4 linked regions of the Nothobranchius furzeri genome follow. The protein of the gene in region 2 purifies or fractionates together with the protein of the main gene of each other region. This does not show direct contact. Links are inferred from orthologs where the notes say so. Each region holds a gene or a part of one and is shown on either strand. Other genes may lie near its edges.

Region 1 (7,811 bases), on a different chromosome or scaffold from region 2:
TTTCCATAAAACCATCTATTCAAGCCTGTAAGGCAAAAATAAATAAGTTTCGTGAGTCTCTATCGTTTCATTTTCCATTTAACGGACACTTTCTGAAATCTTGATGAAAATCCTCTCAAGTTTATAATCAACACCCTGAAAGCAGGAATAAGTGGAACAGACCAGAATTCAGGTTTATTGATTACTTCACCAAATACCTGGAAGATTACATCACAATATTATGTATAGAACTGTAGAGCACTTTCAGTTTTATGTATCTTACATGGAAAACTTTACAGTCTGTACTTTTTCATTTATAATATATATATATTTATAGTTTTCCCCGACTTCAGGGGAGAAAAGTAGACATCCATAGTGGCGAGGGAAGGAATGCTTTTCAAAAAATATTTAAATGCACTTTCAATAATTACTTACATCCTTCATCGAAGAACAAAAAGGCATGAAAAACGTTCCAGAGGGATGCAGATATTCATCCTGTTGGTGTGAAACTATCACTACAGAGAGCCAACACTGACAGGCTATCCTAGTCGTGGTTAATGAGAGCAAAACGTCACTAACGGGTGTGCAAAAGAGAGAATAATGGTTCTGATGGGAGATCTGGAGGGAGGAAGCAGCCATTTTTTTCACCAGTAAAACTCTTTGATGTAAATAAGTGATTTTAGTGGGGAAATAATCAAATTACTGCAAACGAGAAACAACGAATAAGTAAAAATTCACTGGGGCGTGTGAGAGAGGACAGGATGAGCCGGGGTGATCGTTGACGCGTCGCCTGCAGCTTCAGTCAGGCTCATACAGATGCGACGGTCACGTGGAGAATCATCCGTTGCTAACAGGCACAGTTGGCAAAAAGCCAATCGGACCGAAGGCTTCATTTGTTTTTAGAGCGGAAAAGAAAAGTGGGGCAACAGGATCTGCAACAATAAATTATATTAGAGTCGTTTTTCCTTCTTGTTCTGGTCGCTGTAGGATGAAAGACGACAGTCAGCAGGAAGCGCCGGTCACAGAGCTGCTCATCCCCGAGAGAAGATGCCAAGTCCTGAACCAAGACCCACAACCTCCTCCGGACTTTGTCTCCGTCTCGGATCCGGACCAGCAGAAGGGAGGAAAGATTCTCAAGTATCAGGTCCACCTTCAGGTTTCCTCTCTACGGATCCACAGCATCACCTGGATTCTGCCTAGGAGGAGGGAGTCCGGGTGGGCGCCCCCTCAGGAGCGGCGATCTGGAAGACGGAGCCGATGCGCAGGAAGAAGCGCCGGAGGACGGCCCGCAGCTCCGGGATCAGGTCGAACTGCATCATTTCACACAGGTGGGGGTAGTAACAGGAAGCATGGGGCTTAAACTACGGAGGACAGAGATGAGCGTTAAACAACAAAGTCCCAGAATAAAGTGTTTCAGCTGCTTTCGGAGCAGGTCTCCGTCCAGAACCAGCTAAATCCCAACAACACCGGGTGGTCATGCATGTCGAACCATCACAAGTTGCTTCTTCAATCATATCTTTAATATGTGATCTATAATCTGTAATCGCTTTGGCCTGAGGTGCTCTGGAAGAACCGAGTCGTGGGGAGGGCCAAGAGTCGTCAGTGATGAGGTTTAGTACCACAAAAACACGTTAATGGATGGATGTATCATAATCCAGCTCTCCTCTATGGAACACGTGTGTGTGTGTGTGTGTGTGTGTGTGTGTGTGTGTGTGTGTTCGTGCCTTGCCGTCGGGCAGCCGTAGTGTTCTGGTGAGCAGCAGCATCAGCAGGCTGTTCCACGCCTCTCGGTGGCTCTCTGAGGTCAGACTGATGAAGTAGCTCAGAGCTTCGGTACACACTCTGAACCAGGAAAAACACACACGCACGCGCACACACACGCACGCACGCACACACATGAAACAAACATTACTCTAATGAGTTTGCAGTTAGCAAATCAAACTAGCTTAACGCGGCGGCTAATAAACCAGACTTCAGCACGATCGCGGTCGTGACTCGCAGCAGACCCGTGACCAGCGAGGCGGGTCACTTAAACCCACGCGGTCATGAACTAGCCAGATGTTGGAGTCCTGCTCATCCACCAGAGAGCTGGCAACAATAAATCAATCAAGGACGACATAATTCAGCTTTTTTCCTCACATCTGTTAAAACGACATCTTTAAGGCACGAAGCTGCTCCTGCTGACATCTTCCTGTGTCTCCACAAACCCAGTTTTTATCTGCAGACCCGGTACTGCTGACAGCAGAACTCAGTCACAGCTTCAGCAAATCATCCAGGCTAAAACAGCCCCCCCCCCCGCCGGACTTCAGCCTCATGCTTTGACGACACGCTGCAGGTCAGTACTCACAGCAGCAGGCGTGTTTGGATGTCGGGCCACGAGTCCTGCAGCTTCAGGTCGGAGTACATCTTAAACAAGATCCTGAGGCTGCAGGCGAGGCTGCTGGTTTCCTGCTTCAACAAGTTGGGCTTCGATTTCCCCTTAAAGCCTGCGAGCAGAGAGGACACCTGCCATTAAAGTGAATGCACGGGAGTCTCTACGCCTGAACTTCTCCTTTTTCCACGATCCAACACCGATCTCATGAACCAGAGGAACAGCGAGGCCTGCAGCGGCTTACCCGCCCTCCAGAGAGCCGTCCTCTGCTCGTTGTTGGAGTTGAAGTCCTTGGCAAAGTTGTGCGACTCCAGCAGACAGTCCAGCAGCTTGAAGAGGTGAGCTGAGGTCATGTGTCGGTACATGCCCTGATCCGGTCTGGAATCCTCCCAGTCAGCCTCCGACTCCTCCAGAGCATCTCTCTGGAAGACATTTGAACTGCTAAGTGCAAGAAGGCGTCCATCCCCGACTGGAGAACGTAGTTAGGGTTAGTGACCTCTAACCGTAACAGAGTTAGGGTTTGAACCGAGTCATGGGCTCGACACGCGGGAGGCGACCCGCGGCAGCGGCAAAGCCGCCAACGCGTTCTGTTCCATGGCGAAATCGAACCTTCCGTTGTTTTGATTGGCTGTGTCAGGTTGGAGGGAGTTAAGGTTATTTAAGCGGTTCAGAGTTAAAAACGCGGTACATGTGATGCGTCACAAGGTGCTGCTAGAGTTATGTGAAATCTTACTTCTGATTTTACTATAAAAAAAACAAACAAGAATGGGTTCGTCCCGTGTTACAAACCAGAGAAAGAAACGGAGAAAACCATCATTTATGAGGGACCTCAAGGATAGTCCTGATCAACTCCGGACCTACCGTCGCCTCAGTCCAGAGCTACTTGTCCATCTTCTCACCCTGGTAACCCCAACGATAGAGAAGATTCACACAAACATGAGAGAACCCTTTTACGACCTACGTCATCAAAAGTTGCGCGCGCAGCCTGGCAACGAGAGTGAAGGCTTCCTCATTCACACTCGATACTAAAACAGCGTTTTAAACCCTTTGTTTTGAATTTCTGAGCACATAAAAATGTCGGGTTGTTGCGTGTATGGATGCCAGAATCGCTTCTCTTCAAGCAGTGGACTGAAACTTTACAGAATTCCGAAGGGAGCACATCCATTTCAACAAAACCGGAGGCGTCTGTGGCTGCAGGCCATCAAAAGGGTTGATGAAAACTGGACTGAAAACACGATCCGAAATGCTCGAGTTTGTAGCGCCCATTTTATATCAGGTAAGGTAATTATGTACTAAGATTACACCAGAAAGCTGGTTAACGTGTGTTCTACTGAGATGTAACTGCTGCCTTTTCTGTTTTTCCCATCCTAACACAAAGCTCAACTTTGAATAAAATTGCTGCTGCGTGGCGGCAGCATGACCCAAGTCTGGAACATCAAAATGACAGAATTAAACAAATTTATACGCTTTATTTCATGCTCCAAATTAACATTTCATTCTAATTCATCTGTATTTTCCCACTGCATATTAGTATAAACTGTATTTCTCTAAAATTAACACGATTGTACTCTGAGCACGCTAAAAAAAGAAACCTATGCTATACTCACCCTGCCATGCAGGTACAGTTGGCTGTGAAGACATAGTTCTCTGGTTTGTTTACTATGACCCAAGCCTCGTACGTAGCAGTCTTGTGTCCTTGTCTTTGGCTAGGAAGGACTTCTGCCTTCAAGATTCAAAACTCAGAGTCTATGTCGTGATATTTTACTTTCTGTACGTGGCCACAGACAACATAGTTGTATGCATCTAACGATTTGTATGCCCGTAGCTTCTCACGTGTGTACTTACTGGGCCTCTCCACTAAAACGTATATACAGGTGCTGGCCAGTAAATTAGAATATCATCAAAAGGTTGAAAATATTTCAGTAATTCCATTCAAAACGTGAAACTTGTACATTATATTCATGCAATGCACACAGACCAATGTATTTCCGATGTTTATTACGTTTAATTTTGATATTTATAGGTGACAACCAATGAAAACATCAAATCTGGTATCTCAGAAAATTAGAATATTCTAAAGGCCAATGAAAAAATGTTTGTTTCTCTAATGTTGGCCAACTGAAAAGAATGAACATGAAAAGAATGTGCATGTATAGCACTCAATACTTAGTCGGGGCTCCTTTTGCCTCAATAACTGCAGTAATGCGGCGTGGCATGGACTCGATCAGTCTGTGGCACTGCTCAGGTGTTATGAGAGCCCAGGTTGCTCTGATAGTCGTCTTCAGCTCCTCTGCATTGTTGGGTCTAGCGTATTGCATCCTCCGCTTCACAATACCCCATAGATTTTCTATGGGGTTAAGGTCAGGCGAGTTTGCTGGCCAATCAAGGACAGGGATACCATGGTCCTTGAACCAGGTGCTGGTGGTTTTGGCACTGTGTGCAGGTGCCAAGTCCAGTTGAAAGGTGAAGTCTGCATCCCCATAAAGTTGGTCAGCAGCAGGAAGCATGAAGTGCTCTAAAACTTCCTGGTAGACGGCTGCATTGACCCTGGACCTCAGGAAACAGAGTGGGCCAACACCGGCAGATGACATGGCACCCCACACCATCACTGACGGTGGAAACTTTACACTGGACCTCATGCAACGTGGATTCTGTGCTTCTCCGCTCTTCCTCCAGACTCTGGGTCCTTGATTTCCAAAGGAAATGCAGAACTTGCTTTCATCAGAAAACATAACTTTGGACCACTCAGCATCAGTCCAGTCCTTTTTGTCCTTGGCCCAGGCGAGACGCTTCTTGCGCTGTTTCTTGTTCAAGAGTGGCTTGACACACGGAATGCGACACCTGAATCCCATGTCTTTCATGAGTCTCCTCGTGGTGGTTCTTGAAGCGCTGACTCCAGCTGCAGTCCACTCTTTGTGGATCTCCCCCACATTTTTGAATGGGTTTGTCGTCACAATTCTCTGCAGGGTGCGGTTATCCCTAGAGCTTGTACACTTTTTTCTACCACATTTTTTCCGTCCCTTCGCCTGTCTGTTAATGTGCTTGGACACAGAGCTCTGCGAACAGCCAGCTTCTTTAGCAATCACCTTTTGTGTCTTGCCCTCCTTGTGCAAGGTGTCAATGATTGTCTTTTGGACAGCTGTTAAGTCAGAAGTCTTCCCCATGATTGTGATGCCTTCAAAACAAGACTGAGGGACCTTTTAAAGGCCTTTGCAGGTGTTTTGAGTAAATCAGCTGATTAGAGTGGCAGCAGGTGTCTTCTATATTCAGCCTTTTCAGAATATTCTAATTTTTTGAGATACCAAATTTGGAGTTTTCATTAGTTGTCACTTATGAATATCAAATTTAAATGTAATGAACATTGGAAATACATTGGTCTGTGTGCATTGCATGAATATAATGTACAAGTTTCACGTTTTGAATGGAATTACTGAAATATTTTCAACCTTTTGATGATATTCTAATTTACTGGCCAGCACCTGTATATCGGGCCACGCACCTACATCTTCCACCCATTCCGTAATGCCACAGGGATCCGGGAGTCTGTTGCCATTCGTTAAAGTGAGGTTAATAATATAACATTCAAGATTTGCCGGTGATAACCCCGCAGCGTAGCTTGATAAAGCCTGAAACATGACGTCATATTGTTTACACACAGTAAAAGGGTCTATAAGCTGCGGTTCTTTTCCTCATCAAAACACAAGAGAATGAGACAACTGTGTCCTTACAGCGTGGGGCGGTTTATTTGTACAGTTCAGCAACACACCACCAGTAACTCGGGACAGCGTTCAGCCAGAACGCAACGGGCCGCCGGCTGGATCTCAGAAAAAGCCCGCTTACACCGAAGATGCGACCCCAGTTATACTTTTTACTGACGTCACTTCTGCATGGCTTAGGAAATGGGTCTCACATACACATGAATTGGAAACTGTTTGGGGAGTCTTTCCCAGCAACCCGTGCAACGAGACAGGAACCATCCGCTGCTCTTGACTTCCCGATAAACATTCAGATAAATGTTAGTCTCACTGGAAATTATGCAAACTGGACTGAAGACAGGATGTTAAACATCTCGTACACAAACGCAGCTCTTGGCTCCTACAAAGCCCAGAAGAACGACTTGCTATCCGTCTAAGGTAAGTTAATGATAAACAATAATTATATTTTCATATACACTCACCTAAAGGACTATTAGGAACGCCTGTTCAGTATTAGTCTGGTGTTCCACCTTTAGGTGGGTGTATTTTCTTATTACGTGTACACTCGGAGAGCATCCTCTCCGCTCATTGGTCAGTGAATGAAACCTCCGTTGGTCGGTCCTCGTCCGAGCGACGGCGATGAAAAGTTGAAAATATTTCAACTTTCTGGGTCGCCTGTGCACGCCACGTGCACGAGCGCAAAATTTCACGCGCGCGTTTCGCGTAGTAGGTGGGAGACCCGCGATTATCGCATGTCTCATTGAACATGAATGGAGAGGCGACGTCGCCTCCCGTGTGTCGAGCCCGTTAGTCAGCGAGCAGGAGAAAGCTCTTCCAGGTTAAATGAGTCCCCAGCAGGTTTTCTTCTGCTGTTTCTGCAGGTTAGCACGTAGGCTGAACTTTGACACCATGACACACCCTCGAAGGTGAGGGTCTTCTGCGTGACTACCTGCGCTGCAGCCATGTTTTCAGCATCCTCCTTCTTGCTGGTTGCTGGGAAGAAGACGATGTTGTCTACAGTCTGGATGAGCTCGAGCTGCACGACACATTTAATCAGCAGCCCTGCAAACAGCCTCTGGTCTGAGACTCCTGGGGAGGGATTAAGGTTTAAATGACTCACCATCGGAACGATCGGAGGCGTGTGCGGCTTTATTAAACTCACTGGCGTTGGATCTGCCCTTCCAGGTGTCGTCGCTGGACATCTGGCTGTGTCCTCTCTCGGACAGAGCTCTGTCGTAGCTGCTCTGAGACTGGCTGTCGAAATCTGCATCCTGGAGACGAAAAGTAAAAACATGATCACAACCCCGACTGCAGCTGTTGCCCCCGCGACCCGACTCCGGATAAGTGGAAGAGAACGCATGGATGGATGGATCCCAACATTTTTAACTGGATTAAAGCAGTTACTCTAGCGATGTACGAGATGGTTTGCTTACAAAGTGCTTCCCGTCTGCAGCTTCCTCGTCTTGTCCGGCCGGTCGCCAAGTCAACAACCTGACGTGGAAAACAAACATGGCGGCAGGTTGAGAATCAGGCGATGCATCCGTCACAGCTCTGAGAGGCGCCAACGTTCAACAGCAATGCTGGTAAAGCCTCCATGCACCCGACCGTCTCTAAAACCCGATGAGGAGGGAACCGACACTCACACGTGAGGGCTGGTGTTTTGGAAAATCTCCAGCATGCACGAGCAGGTGACGTTCCAGACTTCTGGGCTGAACTTCTCCCCGTTCAGGATCACCAGGTTCTCCAGACAGTTAGTTCCCGACCGG
Region 2 (7,415 bases):
TTGGTGTTAACTTTGGGACTTTGTTTCTGATTCTTCGGACTTCAGCACCTTCACAGTGAAAAATGGGAGACTGGAATTTCCTCGGAGGGATCTTGGAGGAGGTGCACATCCACTCCACCATGGTCGGCAAGATCTGGCTGACCATACTGTTCATATTCCGGATGTTGGTGCTGGGCGTCGCTGCGGAGGACGTCTGGAACGATGAGCAGTCCGACTTTGTCTGCAACACCGAGCAACCTGGCTGCCGCAATGTTTGCTACGACCAGGCCTTCCCCATCTCCCTGATCCGCTACTGGGTGCTTCAGGTGATTTTTGTGTCCTCGCCCTCCTTAGTGTACATGGGTCATGCCATCTACCAGCTGCGTGCTTTGGAGAAGGAGCGCCACTGCAAGAAGGTGGCTCTCCGACGGGAGCTGGAGGCAGTGGATGCAGAGATGGTGGAGGTGAAGAGAAGGATCGAGAAGGAGATGAGGCAGCTGGAGCAGGGGAAGCTCAACAAAGCACCGCTTAGGGGCTCGCTGCTGTGCACCTACATGGCTCACATCGTCACTCGCTCCGTGGTGGAGGTTAGCTTCATGATGGGTCAGTACATCCTCTACGGACACCGTCTAAACACTCTGTACAAGTGCGAACGGGAGCCGTGTCCCAATATGGTGGACTGCTTTGTCTCCAGGCCAACAGAGAAAACTGTCTTCATGATGTTCATGCAAGTCATCGCCTGCATCTCCCTGTTCCTCAGCCTGCTGGAGATCATGCACCTGGGCTTCAAGAAGATAAAGAGGGCCATACTGAACTTCTACCCCCACCTCAAGGACGACCTTGATGATTATTACGTCAACAAGTCTAAAAAGAACTCGGTTGTCCATCAGGTGTGTGTGGGGACGTCAGTGGGACGTAAGACCACCATTCCCACAGCTCCCAGTGGATACACACTGCTGCTGGAGAAGCAGGGCAACGGACCAAACTACCCCCTCCTCAGTGCCTCCTCCGCCTTTGTCCCAATACAGGGAGACCCCGGGGCCGTCCCAGACAGCCGCAAAGACGTCAAAGAGGGGGTTCCGAGCCCGACGGAGCAGAACAGCAACTCCAACAACACCAGCAGTGAGACACGTTCACCTCCTGTGGACAAGCAGGACGAGCCTGAGGAGCACTCTTCCTCCCACCACGAAGATCTGGAGTGTGGGAGCTCGGAGTACCCCACCCTCTCTGTGGCAGACACCTCCACCTGCACCACGCTGTCAGCCGTCGCCAGGAAGTCCCGGAAGCCCAGCCCGTCGTGGAACTGCTCCACGGTGATGGAGGGGAACTGCTCAGACAGCGGAGACTCCTACCACGGAAACAGCAGCATGAAGCTCCGCAGCGGCTGCGCCGGGCCAAGAGCCAGGGTGCTCTCCAAGTCGGACTCAAAGAGGCCGAGTGGATCCCAGAGCCCGGACTCCGTGGGGGAGCTGAGCTCCATGTCTCGACACAGCCGGGAGAGCAACAGCCCCACCACCTCCTCCCCAAACCGAAGAGCGTCGGCGGCGAGCAGCGGCAGCAGCAGACGAGCCCCGACGGACTTACAGATCTGAACCCGTTAAGTCCTGATCCGGTTCTGGTGTCGTGTTTCCAAACGCAGCCAGACTTGGATCAGTGGCTCTCCAGACTTCCTGAGGAGTCTCTCTTTGAACTCTGGCTGATTTTTCTCTTAGTGTCAGTTTTTATCGGAGAATCTTTTTAACCTCTGATGAAAAGTGTTCCTGATGAGGTCTGGATCAAGACTTTTGCACAGCTCTGTACATGTAAACACAAAAACCACAGGCTGCAGTAGAAAAGATGCTTTATGTAGTTTTCTGTCATGTTTCAAAAGCTTTGAGAGAAACTGGTCTCTGCGTTTCCAGGTCAGCCTCAGACATCCAGATCGACATTTAACGATTCAGCAGGATGGAGACGCGGAGGGATGGAAAAGCGAATCATCGATCGCTCGTGTTCCAGTCAGCTGTTGTTATGTAAACACTTTTAGTTCAGCAGTGAGTTAATCCACCTAAACAGTTTTAGAGGCTGATGGCCTTTTGTGTTTTGGTGTTTTTATATGGAAACTATTTTTCTACTTGATGCAGAAGATTTCAGTTTGAAAGACTGAAAAATTTAAATGGAATTTTTAAAAAAAGTGAAAAAATATGAATTTCTGATCAAATGTTTTGTTATTTAAAAAACGAACAGTGATTTTGTCTTCGTTGATTATGTGATGATAAAACATTTACATTCTGCACAAAACAAAAGCCAGTGATGAATGATTTTATTTCCCGGGACCCCCAAAAGCAGCACCGCAGCCGTCCTACACTCCAGCTCTCTCCTCAGGCGACGTCTCGTACTGCATCAGCTGTGAGACAAACAAACCGTCAGACGTTCCCGACGGAGAATCCGGGGTGAACTCTGACCTGTGGATGCTTACTCTGTTCTTCAGCTCCTTGTTCTCCTCCATGAGCAGGCTGCACTTCTGCTGCAGATCAGCCAGCTCCATTCGAAGCGCCTCTGAGTCTCTGGGTTCTGGACCCGATGTCCCGAGGTGGAGTTTTATAAAGCTGAGTCTCTGGTTAAGGTCCAGATCCTCGTCAGTCAGAGCTATAAGATGCAGTTTAGTCAGTCTGCTGCTCCGGAGCATACAGGTGTGTGTAAGGAGAAAGAGGAAAACCCTCAGCAGCAACTTTAGAGAAGCAACTGTTGCTGCCAATCAATCTGGGAAGGGTCAAATGTCATTTTAGCTATTTAGAGACAAAAATGGAGAACATACAAGATTTTGTTTAAAATAATTATTTTAGGACAACAACTGAATCAGTTTCAGCTGAAAATGATAACTGGCAATAGCGAGTTAACATGATTAATCTGGAATGTTCAAATCTTCTGAAGTCTGGAATAAAAAGTGCTTCAGATCTTCTATAATTAGAACGAAGGATACTCGAGGGCGTTGTTGGGTTTATCTGGTTCTTCATAAAGAGCCACCAAGACTACAAAACAGAAACACACATGAATCCCCGCCACCTGAACAAATGAGCGCGTGTGTGTGACGGTAACAGGAAGAAGGGGGCGTTAGGATGTCCCACCGCTCGTTAAAGTGTCCAGAACTCCAGATCGTTCGAGGTATCTCCTGAACTGTTCTCGCTTTGACTCGGACGCCTGTAACCCAACAAATAGTCACATTAACAATTTTTAACTAAAATATGAACGTTTATTGTTTGAAAAATCACCATTAAACAGAACACGAGAAGCATCTGAGCCTATGGTGCGTTCACTGTCCGGATGCTAACTAGTTAGCACACGCTACGTGAGTTTAACCTCAAATACGAACAAAATGTAAAACATTTCTGATAAACACGATATTTATCTCTTTATTACTCACTCTATAGTTGGCCATGGAGACGGTTAAAACCTATAATTTGGTGATAGATGAATAGATAGGTTCCAGACCCAAACACACAGCAGCTTGTTTTGTACGCACTTCCGTCCACAAACAGGTGGTCTGTTGCCATGACAGCACGTAAAGCGGAAATGATGCCGCTGGTAGTTCTCTAAACAAATGTTTCTAACTCTTTAAAAAAATAAATGTTTCCTGGTTACGTCATGTGACACAAGGGGAAAAAACAGATTGGCCGAATTTTTATTTCTACATCCAGGTAACAAAAAACTGATATATCGGTAACATTTAAAATAAATTGTTTAAATGGAAGAAATCCAAAAGCGCGATAGTTTGCTAGCGTAGTCCGGACGTGTTTTTTTTTACTTTACAGTAGATTTATCGTACATTTGATTAACGTACAGCCATGAATAACGCGAATTGCACTAAATTAAAAAAATGTTCCTTCAGTCTTCGTGGGTTCAGAGTTCAGGAATGTCCGGCGCTTTAACCCATAGATATCATATATATTAGCTAGATCCCTCACCCGCGCTGTTCGTCAATGGACCCTGACGTCCGTTCGCGGCGGCCATCTTACTTCGGACAGCGGCCCTCCTCTAACAGTGGTGTTTAGTGGTGCGTGCACTATTTAAACAACTCTTAACTTTCTCAGTTTTCAACCGATTTTCATACGGTTTGATTTTTTAGAAACATTAGAGACGTGGCTATGAAATATGTCAGTATTGGCAGGAAACTCCCCTTATTTCACTCCACTTTCCAGCCGTTTTCCCCTATCCTGTAAATTTCCCATACTTACCATTTTATTGTCAACAAGATCTGCTTCTGATGAACTAGCTGTAGTTTGTAAACTCTGCCTGCCACCACTCACATTAAAGGTCACACCCTGGATTTAATCTGCTGCTCCGGCCTGACCCCCTCCAACTGTACAGCTGACCCGCTCCCTTTCACGGACCACTTCCTCATCTCCTTTTCTGTTCCCCTCCGTCTCTCCGTCATCAAGTCACCCCGTATCATTTCATTTCGTAATATTAAGGACATTGATCTAGCCTCCCATTCCTCCAGCTTTGCCACCCTGACCCCAGATTTATCCTCTACTCCCGATGATCTTGTCATTCAGTACAATAACGGTCTGGTTTCAACCCTTAATCCATTTGCTATCATCAAATCCCGCTCTGTATATTTCACTCGGTCTGCTCCATGGTTCACCCCTGCCCCACGCTCATTGAAAGCCAACCGGAGGCTTGAAAGACTCTACAGGAAAACCGGTCTCACCATCCATAAAGACTTATATTCTGCTCAGATTTCTCTCTACAAGGACTCCATCTCCTACGCCAAATCACAGTATTACTCCGGTCTCATCTCGTCCAACTCCAGCAACACTAAGACATTATTTTCCATCATGAACAGCATTTTTCAGCCTCCCGACTCCTTACCCATCCATCTTTACTCTTCAGAAACCTGTAACTCTCTCCTTCAGTTTTTAATGAGAAGGTCAATAGAATCCATCTCTCTTTACCTCATTCCTCCCCTCCCTCTCCTGATTTATTTGAACCCTCCATTCAGTTCTCCTCCTTTGAACTTCCCCATCCCTCAGAACTATTAGATTACACCACCAAGTCCAAACCTTCCACCCGTCAGCTAGACCCTATTCCAACAGAGTTAAATCCTGCCTTTCCTCCCTGCTCCCCTTTATAACAGCTGTTATTCATTCCTCACTATCCTCTGGTATGGTCCCCTCCCTATTCAAATCCGCTTCAGTCAGCCCTATTCTAAAAAAACCTGGTTCAGATCCCAATGATTTCAATAATCTCCGTCCCATTTCCCACCTTCCCTTCATTTCCAAAGTTCTAGAGAAAACCGTTGCATCTCAGTATTTTTCTTTGAGCCGTGCACTCAGCCTCAGCTAGAGAACTGTACGAAGTAAGATGGCCGCCGTGTAAGGACGCTGTCGACTCCCGGTTAGGGGATCTAGTTAGTATGATATCTATGCTTTAGCTCAGCGCCGTCCAGGAGTAGAGGAGGAAGAACCAATCACGTGCCTCGACGTCACAATGTGACCACTGACTTATAAACCATATGCGCTGCATTAACTGGTAGGCGAAGACAGTGGAGTCTTTAGTAGATCTGTTCTTTAGTACTTGCCGCTGCTCATGTGACTTTTCTTTCTCTTGAATTTCGGATCAACAGCAGCAGCCTCGGTGTTCCACCGGTTTCAGGTTCACGTATCCACACAACCGGAGGACGGTTTCAGGTACTTTAATCGTTAAACAGGTGGGTTTTGTTAAACCGGGAAGTGACATGTTGCCTACAATGCAGCTTTTAGGGGTGACAGACTCATTTCTGCCTCAAAAGCGAACATTTTGTTGTTTTTGTCACATGGCAGCCATGCTTTGTGATTTAAGTTTCAATAATCAAAATAATGATTATTTTTCAAATTAAACAAGCTGATAGTTAATTATTTAACGCATAAGCTTGATTACCAAGAAGCTACAGACATCATCATTATTATTATTACGTAATGATATGACAGTGTATTAAATCTGTTTTCTGTCACTAACAAAGAAACGTTGCGTTCTTAATAACTGTATTAACATCTGGCTGTAGGGAGCACTGACAGGACCCTGTTGGACCTTTAAACACTAATCACGTGATCATATTCAGTTCCTCTTACTAAATGTCATTGCAGAAAAAATATTCTTTTATAATCAGCATGTTGAAGACATGGGAACGTTCTTCCTCTTTGTAAGTTTTGTGTTCTCAGGAACAGAAACAAGCAGTTCGATGATCAGTGATTGTCTTCAGATGGTTTCTGGAAATCTCATGAGGCATCGCTCTCATGCTCGCAGAGTGTTGCTTGTGTCACGTGGAGAAGATACGTTAAATATGGTCAACCTTCTCAGATGTACTGTGTGATGTTTATGATGATTTTGGCTGAAATCAGAAGCATCCAGAAGCTCGCGAGGAGTTCAAACATCTGTTTTCTCCTAAATCAGAAAAGCAGCTGTTTGTCAGACAGAAGCCGAGTGACAGGAAGAGTGTGACTGACATGGAAAACCTCATGATCAGGAATCGGAACACGGGCTTTCCCACTGAACCGGTTTAACTCCCTCTAACTGAACACAGGTTTTACTTCTCATCAGTCTGAAAGCTGATGAAGTGGGAATATAAACCTTCACGCTGGTTTGTTTCTGCCTCTGAGCTTCTGTAAACTCGGGTTAGTGAAACAGGAAGTGTCGTCTGACTCGAACGTTTCGGACGAAGCTGCAGGTCGTGTTGATCTCACGCCTTGTTGTGTTATTGTTTTGATGACTCATCAGATTTGCTGAACATCATGACTCGCTGACGCCTGAAGCCGCCTCGGACGACCGTCATGCCGCCGCCCGGTGGCTGCTCCATCAACGCGGACTCGTCAGACGAGAGCGAGGACACCAAGTCGCTCATCCAGAATGACCCGGGTGGGTTCGAGCAGACCAAAGGAACCCATTCAACCCTGATATGACAGGAAATGAGGGTTTATCAGCAATAACCATGTAATAAGTCATGTAATAACAACATCATCGTCTTGTCTCGGAGCAGCTCCTCCTCAGTGCTGCTCGGCGCGGCTCAACCTCGCTGTCCTCATGTTCCTCGGCTTCTCCGTGGTCTACGGTCTGCGTGTCAACCTCAGCGTTGCCATGGTAGCCATGGTGAACGCCACCAACCCGTCTGTAGACAGGAACACGTCGGTGGCCCCCGCCTGCCCGCTGCCACCCGGGACGGAGAACACCAGTGACACCCTGCAGCAGCCAGACGGGGTAAAGGCGTCCCCACTGATGTGAGACGTGGTTTGATGGCGTCAGCATCTTGTTTACGCCTCCTCCTCCCTCTCTCCCTCCCCCTCAGACTCCCGAGTACACCTGGAACCCGGAGACCCAGGGCTGGCTCCTGGGAGCTTTCTTCTTTGGGTACCTGTGCACCCAGATCCCAGGGGGGTACCTGGCCGGTCACTACGGCGGCAGCAAGTTCCTGGGCCTGGGGGTGC
Region 3 (7,811 bases), on a different chromosome or scaffold from region 2:
GGGGCCGTTCCTCCCAACCACACGTCTCCAAGTGTATTCTTTTTTATATTTTACATTTTTTGTTTTTGTGAAGCGCCTCGTGATTTTTCTCTTGAGGCGCGCTATAGAAAAGAGCTTTACTTCTTCAAAAAGGGTGGGTAGTCTGAACTGTAGTTTGGTGCATACGCACAGACAACAGTTAGGACCCGTCCCCCCACATGTAGACGGAGGGAGGCTACCCTCTCGTTCACCAATGTACAGGCACCAAGATGTGGGGCAACTAGTATGCCCACCTCTGCTCGGCGCCTCTCAGTGGGAGCAACTCCAGAGAGTGTCCAGCCCCTCTCGAGGAAACTGGTTCCGGAGCCAGAGCCATGCGTTGAGGTGAGTCCGACTATTTCTAGTTGGAACCTCTCAACCTCACACACCAACTCAGGCTCCTTCCCCACGAGAAAGGTGACATTCAACACATCAAGAGCCAGCTTCTGTAGTCGAGGATCAGACCGCTAAGGTCCCAACCCTCAGCTACCACCTGTTACACACTGCATCTGACCCCTGAGGTCCCGCTCATGAGTGGTGAGCCCATGGGAAGGGTGACCCACGTTTCCTCTTCGGGCTGTGGCCGGCTGGGCTCCATGGACCAAAATAAAGGGGGGCAAAAGGAGATGTTTTTCTAGACGCCAAGAAAAATTAAATGCCAAATCCCCCCTGCAAAGTGTGTCACTGAGAGTTTAAAACAAAAATTATTCTTGTGCAAATGTTGGCATATTCACCTTTAATACTAGTTATTAAAATGCAGCAGTTGCTGGATTGGTGCAGTTCAAAGTGGAGTGCATCAAATAAAACAATATTAACACAAAGGTGAGACGTGTCATAATTTAACCCCCCCTCACAGCTGGAAAAATGCCTAGGGGAAACACTGCAGGCGCTCGCCAAGGCGCTCCACCTCCAGGCCTGGCTCCAGAGGGGGGCCCCTGTGACCCACGTCCAGGCGAGGGAACACTGTTTTGATATATATTTTTTATCATGAAGGGTCTTTGCGTTTCCCTTTGTCTGGTCCCTCACCTAGAACCTGTTTGCCATGGGTGACCCTAACAGAGGCATAAAGCCTCAGACAACATAGCTCCTAGGACCACTGGGAAACTCAAACCCTCCACCACGGTAAGGTGGCAGCCCAGGGAAAAGTTAAACCCGAGTAATTTTAATCATATGTTTAAAAACTGTAAAACACGTCAATCAAAGCATGATTTTTTTAACCAAACAGAAAAAAACAATAAAAGACAAAAATGACATCATCACCAGCTTGTGCCCCGGTCCCAGTGTCTCACCTTTCGGCAGGTCGTCTCCCGTCTTGTTGGTAGACATGGGAGGAATCGGGGCCATCTCGCCTTTGTCCCCCTGGGGGAACCCGGGGAACAGGGGGTCTTGGTAAATCTGAGACAGCTGCTGGAGGGGGATAGCTCCAAGGGGGTGATGAGAATGAGGAGGACTAGAGGGGTAAGGAGGCTGGGACTGCTGGGGGGGAGGAGACTGGGGTTTCTCAGGAGGGGGCGGGGCTTCAGCTTGACTCTGAACACTGGGAGACGATGGGACCTGGGAGGGTCCTGGAGGCGGGTGAGAGGACTGAGTGTGGGTTTCTAGTTGGGGCTGAGGAGCTGAGGACTGGACCTCTGTGGGACTCTGGGTCTCAGGTAAACAGGGCGGAGCTCGTTTCTCCTCCTCAGACACAGAAACTGGGTCCAGGTGGGGAGTCACAGGGGCCTGAGACACAGGTTTCTCCATCTGAGAAGTCTGCAGAGTTCCTTCAGTCTGGAGCAAGACATCTACAGAAGACAAGACAGTGTGAGACACGATGACGAGAAGTGAGACTAAATTATTTTAATCTGACATCGGCTGATTTCTCACCTGCAGTTGGAGTGGGAGGGACTTGTTTTTCATCAATGGGAGGAGCTTCTTTTATTTGAGAAAGGGGAGGAGGTTCTTTTTCTTGATGAGGCAGAGATTCTTTTATTTGAGGAGGAGGTAATGGGGAAGACGGGGGAGGAGGGGGGGAGAAGGAGCGTAGGAAGCAGTGAGCAGCTGTGGGACTGGGAGCGATGGGCGCAATGAAGATGGGCTCAGACACTGATGAAGAGGATGGGGGAGTATCAGACCTGGGAGGGGAGGAGGACATGGAGGGAGCAGGAGGTGATGAAGCAGCAGGGAGGACAGGCGTGATGAGGGTGAAGAGAGACGGGACGGAGGGTTTGATGTTGGCTGGGGGAGAGCTCAGATCAGCAGCTGAAGTGTAGGAAGGTGTGTTTGATTTAGCTTCTCGGGCAGCAGAGGCAGGTGGGAGGGTGGGGTCAGTGGTCGGTAAAGTGGGGTTAGGAGCTATAGGAGGAGGAGGAGTGGAGGACTTGGGTCTGTCTCCAGAAGAGGGCGCCAAGTCACTGACCTCTTCAACTGGACTCTTCTAGAAAAACACAAACATGTTAAAAACACCAGAGAAGAAGAACACAGTGAGCAGATTCAACTAAACCGAGTCTAAAAATAGAAGACAACATTGTGGTGGTAACCATGGCAACAGCTGCCTGGAGAACTGTTTCGGACTAAATACTAGATCAAACCGCCATCAACCCTGGAAACATCAAGTCTGAGAAACGAGTCATGTTAATGCTGCTGCCAGTGGCTCATTTGGGTCGCCATGGTTACCACACAAAGGTCATGGGAGCTGGGCGGTGGATGTGCTCAGGACACAAGAACACCATCAGCTGTTTCTAGCTCCAAAGGGGGTGGGGCTTCCTCACCGTCTTGTGTCTTTGAGACTGTCTCTTCTCTCCTCCCTTCTTCCTCCCTCTTTCAGCCTGAACCACAGTGTGAGTCTGAGAGGAAGTAAGTAGGTGGATCTTAATCTGGGCTGAACAGATTATTATTCTCTCATTCTAGGATTCTGAGTTCCTAAAATAAACTAAACCTTCAAAATTAGCAGTTGCTGAGGACAGAGCTACTGGACTCACCTTGAGGGCGGGGAAGCTGTGTTCGTCTCGGAGTTGGATCTCCATCAGAGCCATGTTCATCTCCTCTTCTACTTTGGCCTGTCGCTCCTTCGCCGTCACACCAAATGCTGCCTCCAAGGAGCTCACTGATGTCCTGCAGAAACCAACGGTTACATCATCAGCCTTGTGCTGGCCCCAGTGAGGTCATCTGGGTTTGCAAAGCGGTGGCCATGAGTTAAACCCAAACATGGGTCCAGGCAGAGGTGGCTGCTATAAACGAGTTTAAATTAAACACTCAAGTCCTGACCTGCTTTTGGGCCCTCCCTGCTCCTCTGTGGTGGCCTGTGGGGGCCACGAGTTCTGCTTCTGCACACGCCCACTGGAGCCTGTGGTCGCTGTCTGGGACACGGCAGAGTAGGATGCTGGAGTGGGCTTCCCTCGTCCTCGTCCTCGACCCCTGTCCTCCCAGTCTGAGACAGCAACAGAACATCATTATAATCCTTAAAACATCAAGATGCTTTGCTTGTGTGTAACCTAGCCGTTAGCTCATCGACCCTCTTTTTACTTCATATAAACGTGTCTATGGCTCAGTGACCTCAGCAGGAGCTTAAGACAGACTCATTCAGTGAGACAGGAAGTAAAGCTACAGCTCAACATACACATAAAAATAAATAGAATGAAAATAATAAAAACCCCTTCCATGAAAAAAACTTTTTAACCATCCTGCTAGTAAAGCGTTGGCAGGACATGAACTTGTGTCACCTCCGTGTCCGTTGCTCAGCTTCTTCTCTCGGACAACGGTGCTCCAAGTGTTTTCCGCGCTGTAAGGTCGGATGTTCCACAGAGGCACCTGCCTGCAGACAAGACCACCTGTCAACCAGCTGAGTTAGCACAAACAGCGCCATCAGTGTATCACTGTGTGTGTGTGAATGGATGAATCATACACTAGCGTAAAGCGCTTTAGAGTCCTCTGACTCTGAAAAGCACTTTATAAGTGTGGGTTATTTATCATTTAACAGCAGCGTTAGCAGCAGTACTAGCAGCATTAGTGGTACTAGCAGCATTAGCGGTACTAGCAGCATTAGCAGTACTAGCAGCATTAGCAGTACTAGCAGCATTAGCAGCAGTACTAGCAGCATTAGCAGTATTAGCAGCAGTACTAGCAGCATTAGCAGTACTAGCAGCATTAGCAGCAGTACTAGCAGCAGTACTAGCAGCATTAGCAGTACTAGCAGCACTAGCAGTACTACCAGCATTAGCAGCAGTACTACCAGCATTAGCAGGAGTACTAGCAGCATTAGCAGTACTAGCAGCATTAGCAGCAGTACTAGCAGCATTAGCAGTACTAGCAGCAGTACTAGCAGCACTAGCAGCATTAGCAGTACTAGCAGCATTAGCAGCAGTACTAGCAGCATTAGCAGCATTAGCAGTACTAGCAGCAGTACTAGCAGCACTAACAGTACTAGCAGCATTAGCAGTACTAGCAGCATTAACAGCACCAGCAGCATTAGCAGTACTAGCAGCATTAGCAGTACTAGCAGCATTAGCAGCAGTACTAGCAGCATTAGCAGCAGTACTAGCAGCACTAGCAGTACTAGCAGCATTAGCAGTACTAGCAGCATTAGCAGCAGTACTAGTAGCATTAGCAGTACTAGCAGCATTAGCAGTACTAGCAGCATTAGCAGTACTAGCAGCATTAGCGGTACTAGCAGCATTAGCAGTACTAGCAGCATTAGCAGTACTAGCAGCATTAGCAGCAGTACTAGCAGCATTAGCAGTATTAGCAGCAGTACTAGCAGCATTAGCAGTACTAGCAGCATTAGCAGCAGTACTAGCAGCATTAGCAGCAGTACTAGCAGCATTAGCAGTACTAGCAGCACTAGCAGTACTCGCAGCATTAGCAGCAGTACTAGCAGCATTAGCAGTACTAGCAGCATTAGCAGTACTAGCAGCATTAGCAGCAGTACTAGCAGCACTAGCAGTACTAGCAGCATTAGCAGTACTAGCAGCATTAGCAGCAGTACTAGCAGCATTAGCAGTACTAGCAGCATTAGCAGTACTAGCAGCAGTACTAGCAGCATTAACAGTGCTAGCAGCATTAGCAGTACTAGCAGCATTAACAGCACCAGCAGCATTAGCAGTACTAGCAGCATTAGCAGTACTAGCAGCATTAGCAGCAGTACTAGCAGCATTAGCAGCAGTACTAGCAGCACTAGCAGTACTAGCAGCAGTACTAGCAGCATTAGCAGTACTAGCAGCAGTACTAGTAGCATTAGCAGTACTAGCAGCATTAGCAGTACTAGCAGCATTAGCAGTACTAGCAGCATTAGCAGCAGTACTAGCAGCATTAGCAGTACTAGCAGCATTAGCAGTACTAGTAGCATTAGCAGTACTAGCAGCATTAGCAGTACTAGCAACATTAGCAGTACTAGCAGCATTAGCAGCAGTACTAGCAGCATTAGCAGTACTAGCAGCATTAGCAGCAGTACTAGCAGTACTAGCAGCATTAGCAGTACTAGCAGCATTAGCAGCAGTACTAGCAGCATTAGCAGCAGTACTAGCAGCATTAGCAGCAGTACTAGCAGCATTAGCAGCAGTACTAGCAGCACTAGCAGTACTAGCAGCATTAGCAGCAGTACTAGCAGCATTAGCAGTACTAGCAGCATTAGCAGCAGTACTAGCAGCATTAGCAGCAGTACTAGCAGCATTAGCAGTACTAGCAGCATTAGCAGCAGTACTAGCAGCATTAGCAGTACTAGCAGCAGGACAACAGTGTTCTTGGAACTCGTTTTTCCAAGATAAGTTAGCCGGAAATTACGCCATGATCTTAGAATTCTGAGCTGCGACCTTTTATGCTTCAGTGGACCCCAAGATCCCAAATTTAAAGATGGCTGTGCCCAGCGCTAGAAGGAAGTAGTCTTCATTTATTTTTTCCTCATTTATATGTTCTGTTTCCTTTCTTTTTGCTATTTAACAGCACAGAGGAGTTGTTTATTGTTGTTATCAATAGTTATGTTGTTTATGGTTTCTACTTTTCCTGACATTTATATTTTCACATTTGATTTGTAATGTTTTTCTGGTTTTATGTGGAGACTGTCAGGGCGTGTTTGTCAGTATCATTTAGATGCAGAGAATACTTGGTTACAAGTTATTTTGGTTATAAGATCTTTTAGTCGTCAACGACACTGGTGGTGCCCATTTTTCGAGAGGGTGCTCGCTGCAGAACTACAAAGGCGGAGCTGCACCATAAGGTGGAGCTGCACCAGAGTCAGCCCCGCCCATTCACGCAAACTCAGCCTAGCCCACTGACTTCCGTTTTTGTTTTCAACTTTATCGCAAACTGACCTGACCCACATGAATTACGGCTGTTACTAGTTTACAGTCGTTAATGCTATGTTCTATGCTCCAATTAAACAAGATAAATATAACTTGCTACATGACAAAGTCTGAATATATCCCGAAATAAAAAGGTTTTTCTTAGCGAATATCTGCCCACAGCCGCTCTAACAAAAGTCCTGTACAACAGCATGTACCATTCCCATGTGTGTTCTGTTAGTCCAGTGGCAAGATCGTCTGAGTTGAGTTTTGCTTTCCCCTCAGCTGATGCTGGTTCGATTCTCGGTGGGGTCGGCAACAATCTATTTAGCCAGCTGAAACATTTAATTTGTTCATATTTAATTGTAACGTTCATTTTCAGCAAAATATTTATGTCTCTACCAGTTCTTTGAATTTGGTCGTTCCTAAACAGCATTTTAGTTGAAACTCTGCTCACAGATGGACTCACACTGGCTAAATGAACAAATGAATAAATAAAAAAACACATTAGTCATTATATGTTAAACGGCATACCAATAAATTGTTGTAAACAGTACTGGCAAGTGTAGCTAGACATGAAGAAAAGAGGTTGTACACTACCTAAAACTTACACTAATGGGAGGCGAACCTGCACAAAACTGCATGTCAACCTGATTCCATAACCACTACACCACCACATCTGTTATAACTCATTCGGCGTTACATCTAATTGTGCTTCCCATTGTGTCTCTGAGATGGGTTGTATGGTTTATTGGCGGTGTCTCAGTAGAAGTCATTTTCAGAAATAATTTGTCAGAAAAACCAAGAGAACCAAGACCAGACCCGCTTCGGGGGAGGAGACCAAATTGAAGCTGAGATGGGAAGAAAATGCATGAATGAGGCCAAAAATGGCTTTGGCGTGTTTCTTATGAGGAAATGACAATATAACATGATTAAAAGTTCCAAAAGTTAGATTTTTAATTATATGGAACCTTTACAAAAACTGTTCAATTCAATTCTCAACTCCGTCCTCAATCTTGCATTTTTTAGCTATAACACCCTCTTTGGATCCAGAATGCTATAAAGTCTGACAACTGGAAGAAATTGGACTGACTCTGATAGAATGGGCGGGGCTGATTCTGGAATGGGCGGGGCTGACTCTGGTGCAGCTCCACCTTCTGGTGCAGCTCCGCCTTTGTGGTTCTGCAGCGAGCACCACTTGCATTTTTCTGAGTTGTCAGCTGGAGCGCAAAACGAGCGTGTTACATCATGTCCTGCTCTGAAATTCTGAGGACATCAGCACTAGCAGCAGCAGCCAGACCTACTTCTTTCCCAGGTCTTCTATAAAAACGGTCACTGGGCCATTGTTCTCAGGAACCTCTTTGATGGTGGCGTTGTAGCTCCGCCCACTGCCCTCCAGACGAACCTGAAGGCCAAAAACAAGAATATTAAATTTGAGTTCTGTGGTTTAGCAGGTTACAGGTCTAAGAAGAAGCCGGACTCACCTGACAGCGATCTCCTACGGAAAACTGCATCCCAGCAGCGATGGAGTAATCCATC
Region 4 (7,811 bases), on a different chromosome or scaffold from region 2:
CAATGTGGAAATCCAGGTGATCCGGAAATATTTGCAATCATGACTCCCTGCAGAAATCAGTTTGACTTGGATGAAAAGGACATTTGCATCTAAAATGACAAAAATAACCTTAATTTCAAAGAAACCTCTTCAGTTATTAAGATGCATGTAGTCATAGCATCACGAATGAGCTCCAAAATAAATGAATAAAGCTTGAAATAATCCTTAAATGTTTTCAGTTAGTCTTTTTTAGACTTTTTATATGTGACATTAAAGGCTCATTAATCTTTTATGACTAATATGATATAATATGAATTCATTATTTCATATATTTGCAGTAAATGAAAACAAAAATCATAATTTATAACAAGAGATTAGGTGTTCTGAAATGGTCCCGCTTCCTCGGACCTGAGTGTCTGTGGAGGAGACGGAGAGTCTGTCATCGGGTAACGAGGGCGTGAAGCTGGCAGAAATCGGAGTTCCAGGAATGCCATTGGCATGGACGTGCTCGCTGTCACTCCCCACGGTGCCCTCGTCCTCCAGCGAGCTTTGGGTTCCCTCGGTCCCCGCCATGGCGGGCTGCGAATCCGCGGCGGACTCCTGGGTGTCGGAGCAGAGGTTTGCAGGATCCAGACAGTGGCCTGTGAGGACAACATACATAAATCATGTGATTTCTAATGACCAACTGGAGCTAATTCGGCTTTCTAACTAAGAAAAAAGACGAAAGATGTTTGCAGCAAATCTAAAGAATCCCTAAAAAACACACTGGAGTAGATTTCTGCTCAGTTTTCCTCCAAATCCTGAAAACCTGTGCAGGATTAAAAGAAGGGAAAGCAGCGTGTCTTTCATGTGGACAAGCACATTTATCCATTTTTTTGCTGCCAGAGCAAAGAAATAATGGCTTTTAGAAACTTCAGCAAAAAAAAGGTGATTCCCCTTATTTATGTCAGCATCTGAGGGAAATGAAAGGACATTAAACCTAAAAATCACACCTTGATTTACAGAATGGTGATCAGAAGTATGAACGTCAACACTTATGTTAATGAGAGGAGATGCATGTGTTAGGTTTTTTTTTTTACTCAGAAATAAGATTTAATGAGAATGCGGGAATTGAAGCTGCTTCTCTGCAGAGATGTGAGCAAACTGAAGCGCAGCCTACCGCGGCGGTGTTCTCTCTCTCAGCCTGGTTAGCCGCTTCCCTTTTTTAAAAACATGCCGCTAAAGCCCACAGAAGAAGCTTTACCTCCTGCAACAGTGTTGACCACCTCCTGCAGGATACTCTGGACTATTTCCTGGGCTTTCTCCTCGTAGTTTGGGCTTTCCTCCTCCTCCTCCTCTTCCTCTTTACGCGCTCCTTCGTGCTGTTTGGATGCAGCATCTAGAACAACAACACATTCAGCTGTGACCGAAACGTGGTCGGTTCTGCTTGCTGGAAGCTTTAATCTTCAAAGTCTGAACAGAAAAAAAAATCCACCTATTAAATGAAAATCCGATAAGAAATGAGCCAAATCCAAATAAAACTTCAGCTCTGAGGAGGGTCGCCGACTCATAATTTAAACTAAAAACACAAACATTTGATTCTAAACCTGCAACTTCAAGTGTTTTTATCAACATTTTTATTGCGCCCAAACTTGTGGTGAAGGAAAGTAAAAAGTCTCACTCTGTGCTGCTGCGGTGGCTTGGTCCGCCTCCGTTTGCTCATTTTCAGCCACGCAGAACTCCGACCCATTTTCAGGGTCCGGGTTCTCGTAGACGAGCCCCTCCTGCTCCCCGGACACAGACCTGCTGTTGGACTCAGGGGCGGGCGTCGACGGGGTGGATGGGGTGGACGGGCAGGTGGTGCCGGGGGTGGGAGGGCTGACGGGCCCGTTGGCCTCCTGCGTGGGAGCCTTTGCAGATGAGTGGACGTGGGTCTGGAGCTGGGGGGATTCTGGCTCAGCGGGCTGGGTGACTGGGGAGTGCTGCCGGTGCCGATCTCTCTCCATCTGTTTGGCTTCCTGCAGCTGGGGGGGGGGGGGGGGGGGGGGGAAGAAGCAAAATAACAAAAACAGGAAGCAGACAAAATGGAAAAGCATTAATTTGTCAGTATGATCAACTCAATTCTCCTGTGAGCAAACGGCGCCCAAATCAAGATCACAGCAAAAACATTTTATAAAGATACCATAAAATACACCTGTGAAGTTTCTGCAGTATGGTGGGTGAATATGCATCAGATCAACACGTTAATCCACTCAATGAGCAATGAAACACAGCGAGATCAAGTTCATGCTGGCGCCATGGTGGACAATGGTTCCTACGGACGCGTCCTGACTGATGTGTCATGGCAGTTCTGATAGAGGGAGCGACAAAGAGTGGCCGTGCTTCAGCTCGCTGGCTCTCGAGCTGAAAGTGGGTCACAAGACATTGCAAGAGCGTGCATTAAATGCGGCTGAATTTTGTGAGATTTCACCTCTCAAGCTGCACACCGAGCACGCTTACATTTAGGTTCTGATTTGAATTTTAAGAGCAGAGATGATCAATTATCTGAACCGTCACAGAAACACGAGCTAGAAAAAAAATACAAGCAGTGCAAGTTTTCTCAGCCAGCCCACAACAGCAGCTTTGGAGCATTTGTAGAAAATAACAGATTAAAAAGAAAGCAGACAGATGACGAGAGGTACGGACGAAAATATTAAAACTTTCACGCATTTTTACAGTTTTGGTGTCATTTAGTCACAACAAGTCCTGATTTTGTTTGTAATTTAACCTCATTTTATTTGCAATTCAGTTAATAAATGTACCGATTCTGATTTTGAGAGCCGATGCCAATTTCTCACACTTCAACAGCTCCGACTTGCATAGAAAAACCGATCAAGAGTGAAATTATGATTCATGTAGTAAAATCGTTGCAGGGAAGAGCTTGTACTGCCATCACAAAGACGATGCATTCAGGGACCAAACTGCTTTCAGTTTTAGATTAGCAATCACAGATCAGGCTAACCGATTCCAACACTCAGAATACCCAAATCTCTTTCACAACTAAGGCCAGGTCCACACGTAGCCACCAGGTGTCTCACAAAACAAAGATCATTTTCTACAGTTTAGCCTGTGATCTGAATAAAAAAAGATACCCGGTGTCAGGAACAATTTTTTAAAAACTACAACCAAAGCCGGTCAGACCAGACAGGCCCAAATGTATCGCGAGAGTCTGCCGGGAACGTCTGGCAGTCTCCTGTCAGAAGGAGCTTCAATTCCCACATCCGACAGAACTTCCAAAATGTTCCGGGGGTGGGGTGGGGGTGGGGGGTATTGAATCTAAATGGACCCAGTTCCATTCCTCCATTGTTGAGGCGGCTGACCGGAGCTGTGGACGCAGGATCGTCAGTGCCTGTTGTGGTGGCAACCCCCGAACCCGCTGGTGGACACCGGCGGTTAGGGATGCTGTCAAGCTGAAGAAAGAGTCCTATAAGGTATTTTTGGCCTGTGGGACTCCAGAGGCAGCTGACGGGTACCGGCAGTCCAAGCGGAACGCGGCTCAGGTGGTCGCCAGGGCAAAAACCCGGGCATGGGAGGAGTTCGGTGAGACCACGGAGCAAGACTTCCGTACGGATTCGAGGAGATTCTGGTCCACCGTCCACCAGCTCCTCTGTGGCAAGGCTCTGGGGATGGATGAGATCCGCCCGGAGTTCCTTAAGGCTCTGGATGTTGTGGAGCTGTGTTGGCTGACGTGGCTCTGCAATATTGCGTGGACATCGGGGGCAGTCCCACTGGACTGGCAGACCGGGGTGGTGGTCCCCGTATTTAAAAAGGGGGACCGCAGGGTGTGTTCCAACTACAGGGGGATCACACTCCTGAGCCTTTCTGGTAAGGTCTATTCAGGGGTTCTGGAGAGGAGGGTCCATTGGATTGATGAACCTCGGATTCAGGAGGAGCAATGGGGTTTTTGTCCTGGCCGTGGAACACTGGACCAGCTCTATACCCTTAGGGGGATCCTGGAGGGTGCGTGGGAATTTGCCCAACCAGTCTACATGTGTTTCATGGATTTGGAGAAGGCGTTTGACCGCGTTCCTCGGGGGGCCCACAGGGCCCAGGCTGTTAGGTCCCTGTATGACCGGTGTCAGAGCTTGGTCCGCATTGCCGGCAGTAAGTCGGGCTCGTTCCCAGTGAGAGTTGGACTCCGCCAAGGCTGCCCTTTGTCACCGATTCTGTTAATAAACTTTATGGACAGGATTTCTAGGCACAGCCAAGGTGTGGAGGGCATCCGTTTTGGTGGCCTGAGGATCAGGTCTCTTCTTTTTGCAGATGACGTGGTCCTGTTGGCTTCATCAGAACGTGATCTTCAGCTTTTGCTGGAGTGGTTCGCAGCCAAGTGTGAAGCAGCTGGGATGAGAATCAGCTCCTCAAAATCTCAGACCATGGTCTTGATTCGGAAAAGGGTAGAATGCCTTCTCCGGGTCAGGGATGAGGTCCTGCCCCAAGTGGAGGAGTTTAAGTATCTCGGGGACTTGTTCACGAGTGAGGGAAAACTGGAGCGTGAGATCGATAGGCGGATTGGTGCTGCATCTGCAGTGAAGTCCAGGTGAAGAGAGCTGAGTCAGAAGGCAAAGCTCTCGATTTACCGGTCGATCTACGTTCCTACCCTCACCTATGGTCATGAGCTTTGGGTAGTGACCGAAAGAACGAGGTCGCGGATACAAGCGGCCAAAATGAGTTTTCTCCGAAGAGTGGCTGGGCTCTCCCGTAGAGATAGGGTGAGAAACTCAGTCATTCGGGAGGGGCTCGGAGTAGACCTGCTGCTCCTCCACATCAAGAGGAGCCAGTTGAGGTGGCTCGGGCATCTCGTCAGGATGCCTCCTGGACGCCTCCCTGGTGAGGTTTTCCGGGCACGTCCAACCGGGAGGAGGCCTAAAGGTAGACCCAGGACACGGTGGAGGGACTATGTCTCTCACCTGGCCAGGGAACGCCTTGGGATTCCCCTGGAGGAGCTGGCCCAAGTGGCTGGGGAGAGGGAAGTCTAGGCGTCTCGCCTTAGGCTACTGCCCCCGTGACCCGAATTCGGATAACCGGATGAAAATGGATGGATGGATGGATGGATGGACGACCAAAGTGGAGATTTACGAATTCTCCGTTGTCGGCATTTGCTTGTGGACGTAAATAGCCGGGGTTTTAGGTTTTGCAACACCACTGCCTGCAATAAAAATGCTCTGACATCACCAGTGAATGTTTCTTAGCATGAGACACCAATAACTTGGGGAACTACTGCCACCTATACGTTTGAATGTGCATCACAACACTGGATTTTTGCTGAAAACAAGCTTTTCTCCTAGATCGGTAAGATTTGATATTAGGTTTTCCAAAAACCCCAGCTACGTGTGTGCATGTCCTACAGTCAGTCCCTCACTGTTGGTAACCAGTTCAAAACACAAAAAATGAATGAAAAAAACTAAATGGTACTTTGCAGTAGAAATCCTTTACATGTGACACCTTTACAAGATCTTTTCCACATGGCCAGGTCCCAAGCTGTATGGAATGCAAATGCACACAAATTGTTTGGCGTGCAAATGTTCATGTTGAAACTTAGTCACAAAGCACAGCAATTATGTTGAGCTGCATGATATTAGGAAAACAGGCAATCACAATTTTATTCATCTGCCTCAGTAATCCAATATTCCTGGCACTCGCCGTGTAGTTGCTGTTGATATTTAGGGAAATCTGGGTCCATTTGCTTGTGGAATTCAAATATTTTGAGTATATTTTAAGTCTGGTTTAATAAAATTCTCTACAATACTAATATTGCACACCAAAATAGCCTTATATGAATTTTTATTGAAGCATTTCCTGCTCTAAATGCGACACAAATTTATCAGTTTTATGGCGTTTACTGCATTTTGGTTTAATCGGACTCGTTATTCTTCGAAAACTAAGTTTCTAATGAAGCCGTTTGATTTAAATTAAACGAGCTTGCTGCCTTTGTCACAAGTAAATAGAGCCAAATAAATTCAGTGAAGCAAAACTTTGACATAAACGACTAATAACGTGCAACGGCAGGACCAGACAAATGTTCCGGAGGGGAAAGTCGAGCCAGCACAAACAAACTAAGCTCATTATTTAAATGCCACCTCAGTTGGACAGTGATGGGTGTGTGTGTTTGTGTGTGTAGGTGTGATCAGATCATGCTGAGCTGCAGCCAATGGGACACACACACAAAGTAAGAAAGTGGATATCTCTGTGCAGCAATGCAGCACAATAATAGGACTCAAAGGCTACCACGTCTCTTTGTTTCAGCGTTTCATCACTCATCAATACCAAAGATTTAGCACAACTAGGTGCACTTATAAAACTAAGATGTTGTGGAAAAGCGAGATGAGAGGGGAAGCCAAGGCATACTGTGGAAGACTGAATCTGAGTGCAGCGTGGGAGCAAAATGAGGAGAACAGATGAGTGCATGGATGGATGGATGGATGGATGGATGAGGGGAAAAGCTCAGACACAAACACACACAGGATAGGAGCTGAAAAGTTCCGATCAGGCAATGTCACTGCAAGTCCTGCATGCTTTACCTGGCGGTCACGCTTTCTGGAGGCCAGAGACCAAGATAGCTTGTGATTTGTAAGCTATGTGTCCAAAAAGGGAGGGGGGGAGGAAGGGGGAGGGGAGGCAGGTGAGGAGGGGGAGGAAAGTGCCATTCAAAAAGAAAAAGATGACATTAGAGCAAGCTTTCTTTGAAGGCAACACCTTAAATGTCCCTCTGAACACAAAGAAGGCTTTTGGTTAAATGAGAATAAAGTTCAGAAAACAATTAAAGCAAAGTAGCTAAAAGTAGCTTCTAGAAAAGCAGCCTCCAAAGAGAAGCCGTCTTTTCTGTCTCTTCGCTGAATTGTTTTGAGAAGGACAGACGTACTGCTTGATTCTCCATGCGCGCGAAAATGACGTTGAGCATCTGTGTGAGCGTGGCCTTCGCCGTCGTCTGGTTGATGAGGTTCTTGCTGGCCAGGTAGATGTTGTAGCAGGTGCGGACAGCCTGCAGCACCGTACCTTCGTGGATTTCTATGTGCTGGGAGGTCACGGCCGTCAACAGGGCCTGGAGGGGTGAGACGGAGAGGGGTGAGGAGTGGGAGAAGCTTGACCTCATTTAAACATGCCCTCCCTTGTGACCCTTTACACAAAACGCCACACTGCTCATAGGATACACACCATTACGATATCAAAGGAACTATTTGCATGCAATAAAACTCCCATAAAGCGAATCCAAAATCAAGCTAGTTTGTAGCCTTTTGAAGCGCTTTTACTTTGCACAAAGAGACGAGAGCAGCAAAGGACAGCAGCTATCAATCTAAAAAACTAGCAGCCCTCAAAGCGTTAGTGGATTTTTGGACATTGAATTCCTGGATACTAATAATAACGTTCCAATGTAGGACCGCGTGTGAAAAAGACATTATTATTTTGCATGATGAGCTTCACTGTTATGAGACATATTGTCCCTCTGCTGACAGCAGCATCTGGTCCCAGCCAGAGACAAACAACTGGTCAGAATCAGGACTCTTTTGAATCAGCTGCAGAGTAAAGTGATGCACTGTTTATCACACAATGGTAAGTCATTGGTGGGGTGAATTCTAGCAAAGGTGGCTACTTAATTAAATCGGTGTAAACAGCAGCAGGGTCGGTTTTAAGCTAGCTAAATACCACGCTCAACGGGTCCTAACTAGGTGCGCTACTTCGTCCAAAAACTGAACTGGGCTTAAGGACCAAGTTCAGTTTTTTCCCACCACATTTGAAGTGGTCTCTAGTATAAATTAATGCCTTGTAAGTCTATGTGGGGGAAAAAAAAGCTCTGGCGCTCATGTTTAAGGAAC

The links.
Region 1: the proteins of mycbp (region 2) and arfgef2 purify together in Homo sapiens (co-immunoprecipitation; 4 studies listed by BioGRID and IntAct, with this or other methods). This does not show direct contact. The link is inferred for Nothobranchius furzeri from reciprocal best matches to the Homo sapiens genes MYCBP and ARFGEF2.
Region 3: the proteins of mycbp (region 2) and otud4 purify together in Homo sapiens (co-immunoprecipitation; 3 studies listed by BioGRID and IntAct, with this or other methods). This does not show direct contact. The link is inferred for Nothobranchius furzeri from reciprocal best matches to the Homo sapiens genes MYCBP and OTUD4.
Region 4: the proteins of mycbp (region 2) and arfgef1 purify together in Homo sapiens (co-immunoprecipitation; 4 studies listed by BioGRID and IntAct, with this or other methods). This does not show direct contact. The link is inferred for Nothobranchius furzeri from reciprocal best matches to the Homo sapiens genes MYCBP and ARFGEF1.

The regions. Positions count from the first base shown.
Region 1 is NC_091755.1:48,055,643-48,063,453, forward strand, and holds the end of arfgef2 (brefeldin A-inhibited guanine nucleotide-exchange protein 2), read right to left. Parts: coding exon 7,689-7,811; intron 7,537-7,688; coding exon 7,479-7,536; intron 7,317-7,478; coding exon 7,208-7,316; intron 7,135-7,207; coding exon 6,995-7,134; intron 2,773-6,994; coding exon 2,595-2,772; intron 2,466-2,594; coding exon 2,327-2,465; intron 1,822-2,326; coding exon 1,704-1,821; intron 1,341-1,703; coding exon 1,176-1,340; 3' UTR 968-1,175; downstream 1-967. UniProt on the Homo sapiens protein: Promotes guanine-nucleotide exchange on ARF1 and ARF3 and to a lower extent on ARF5 and ARF6. Promotes the activation of ARF1/ARF5/ARF6 through replacement of GDP with GTP. Involved in the regulation of Golgi vesicular transport.
Region 2 is NC_091759.1:25,185,830-25,193,244, reverse strand, and holds mycbp (C-Myc-binding protein), read right to left. Parts: upstream 3,531-7,415; 5' UTR 3,395-3,530; coding exon 3,380-3,394; intron 3,157-3,379; coding exon 3,084-3,156; intron 2,988-3,083; coding exon 2,939-2,987; intron 2,565-2,938; coding exon 2,435-2,564; intron 2,363-2,434; coding exon 2,318-2,362; 3' UTR 2,262-2,317; downstream 1-2,261. Other genes in the region: gap junction alpha-9 protein, read left to right, coding at 63-1,571; si:ch1073-513e17.1 (sialin), read left to right, coding at 6,765-6,849, 6,971-7,188, 7,277-7,415. UniProt on the Homo sapiens protein: May control the transcriptional activity of MYC. Stimulates the activation of E box-dependent transcription by MYC.
Region 3 is NC_091742.1:88,798,327-88,806,137, reverse strand, and holds part of otud4 (OTU domain-containing protein 4), read right to left. Parts: coding exon 7,757-7,811; intron 7,678-7,756; coding exon 7,577-7,677; intron 3,812-7,576; coding exon 3,720-3,811; intron 3,428-3,719; coding exon 3,265-3,427; intron 3,112-3,264; coding exon 2,979-3,111; intron 2,844-2,978; coding exon 2,769-2,843; intron 2,435-2,768; coding exon 1,885-2,434; intron 1,803-1,884; coding exon 1,308-1,802; intron 1-1,307.
Region 4 is NC_091747.1:51,775,329-51,783,139, forward strand, and holds part of arfgef1 (brefeldin A-inhibited guanine nucleotide-exchange protein 1), read right to left. Parts: intron 7,040-7,811; coding exon 6,860-7,039; intron 6,573-6,859; coding exon 6,519-6,572; intron 1,983-6,518; coding exon 1,640-1,982; intron 1,358-1,639; coding exon 1,223-1,357; intron 621-1,222; coding exon 388-620; intron 1-387. UniProt on the Homo sapiens protein: Promotes guanine-nucleotide exchange on ARF1 and ARF3. Promotes the activation of ARF1/ARF3 through replacement of GDP with GTP. Involved in vesicular trafficking.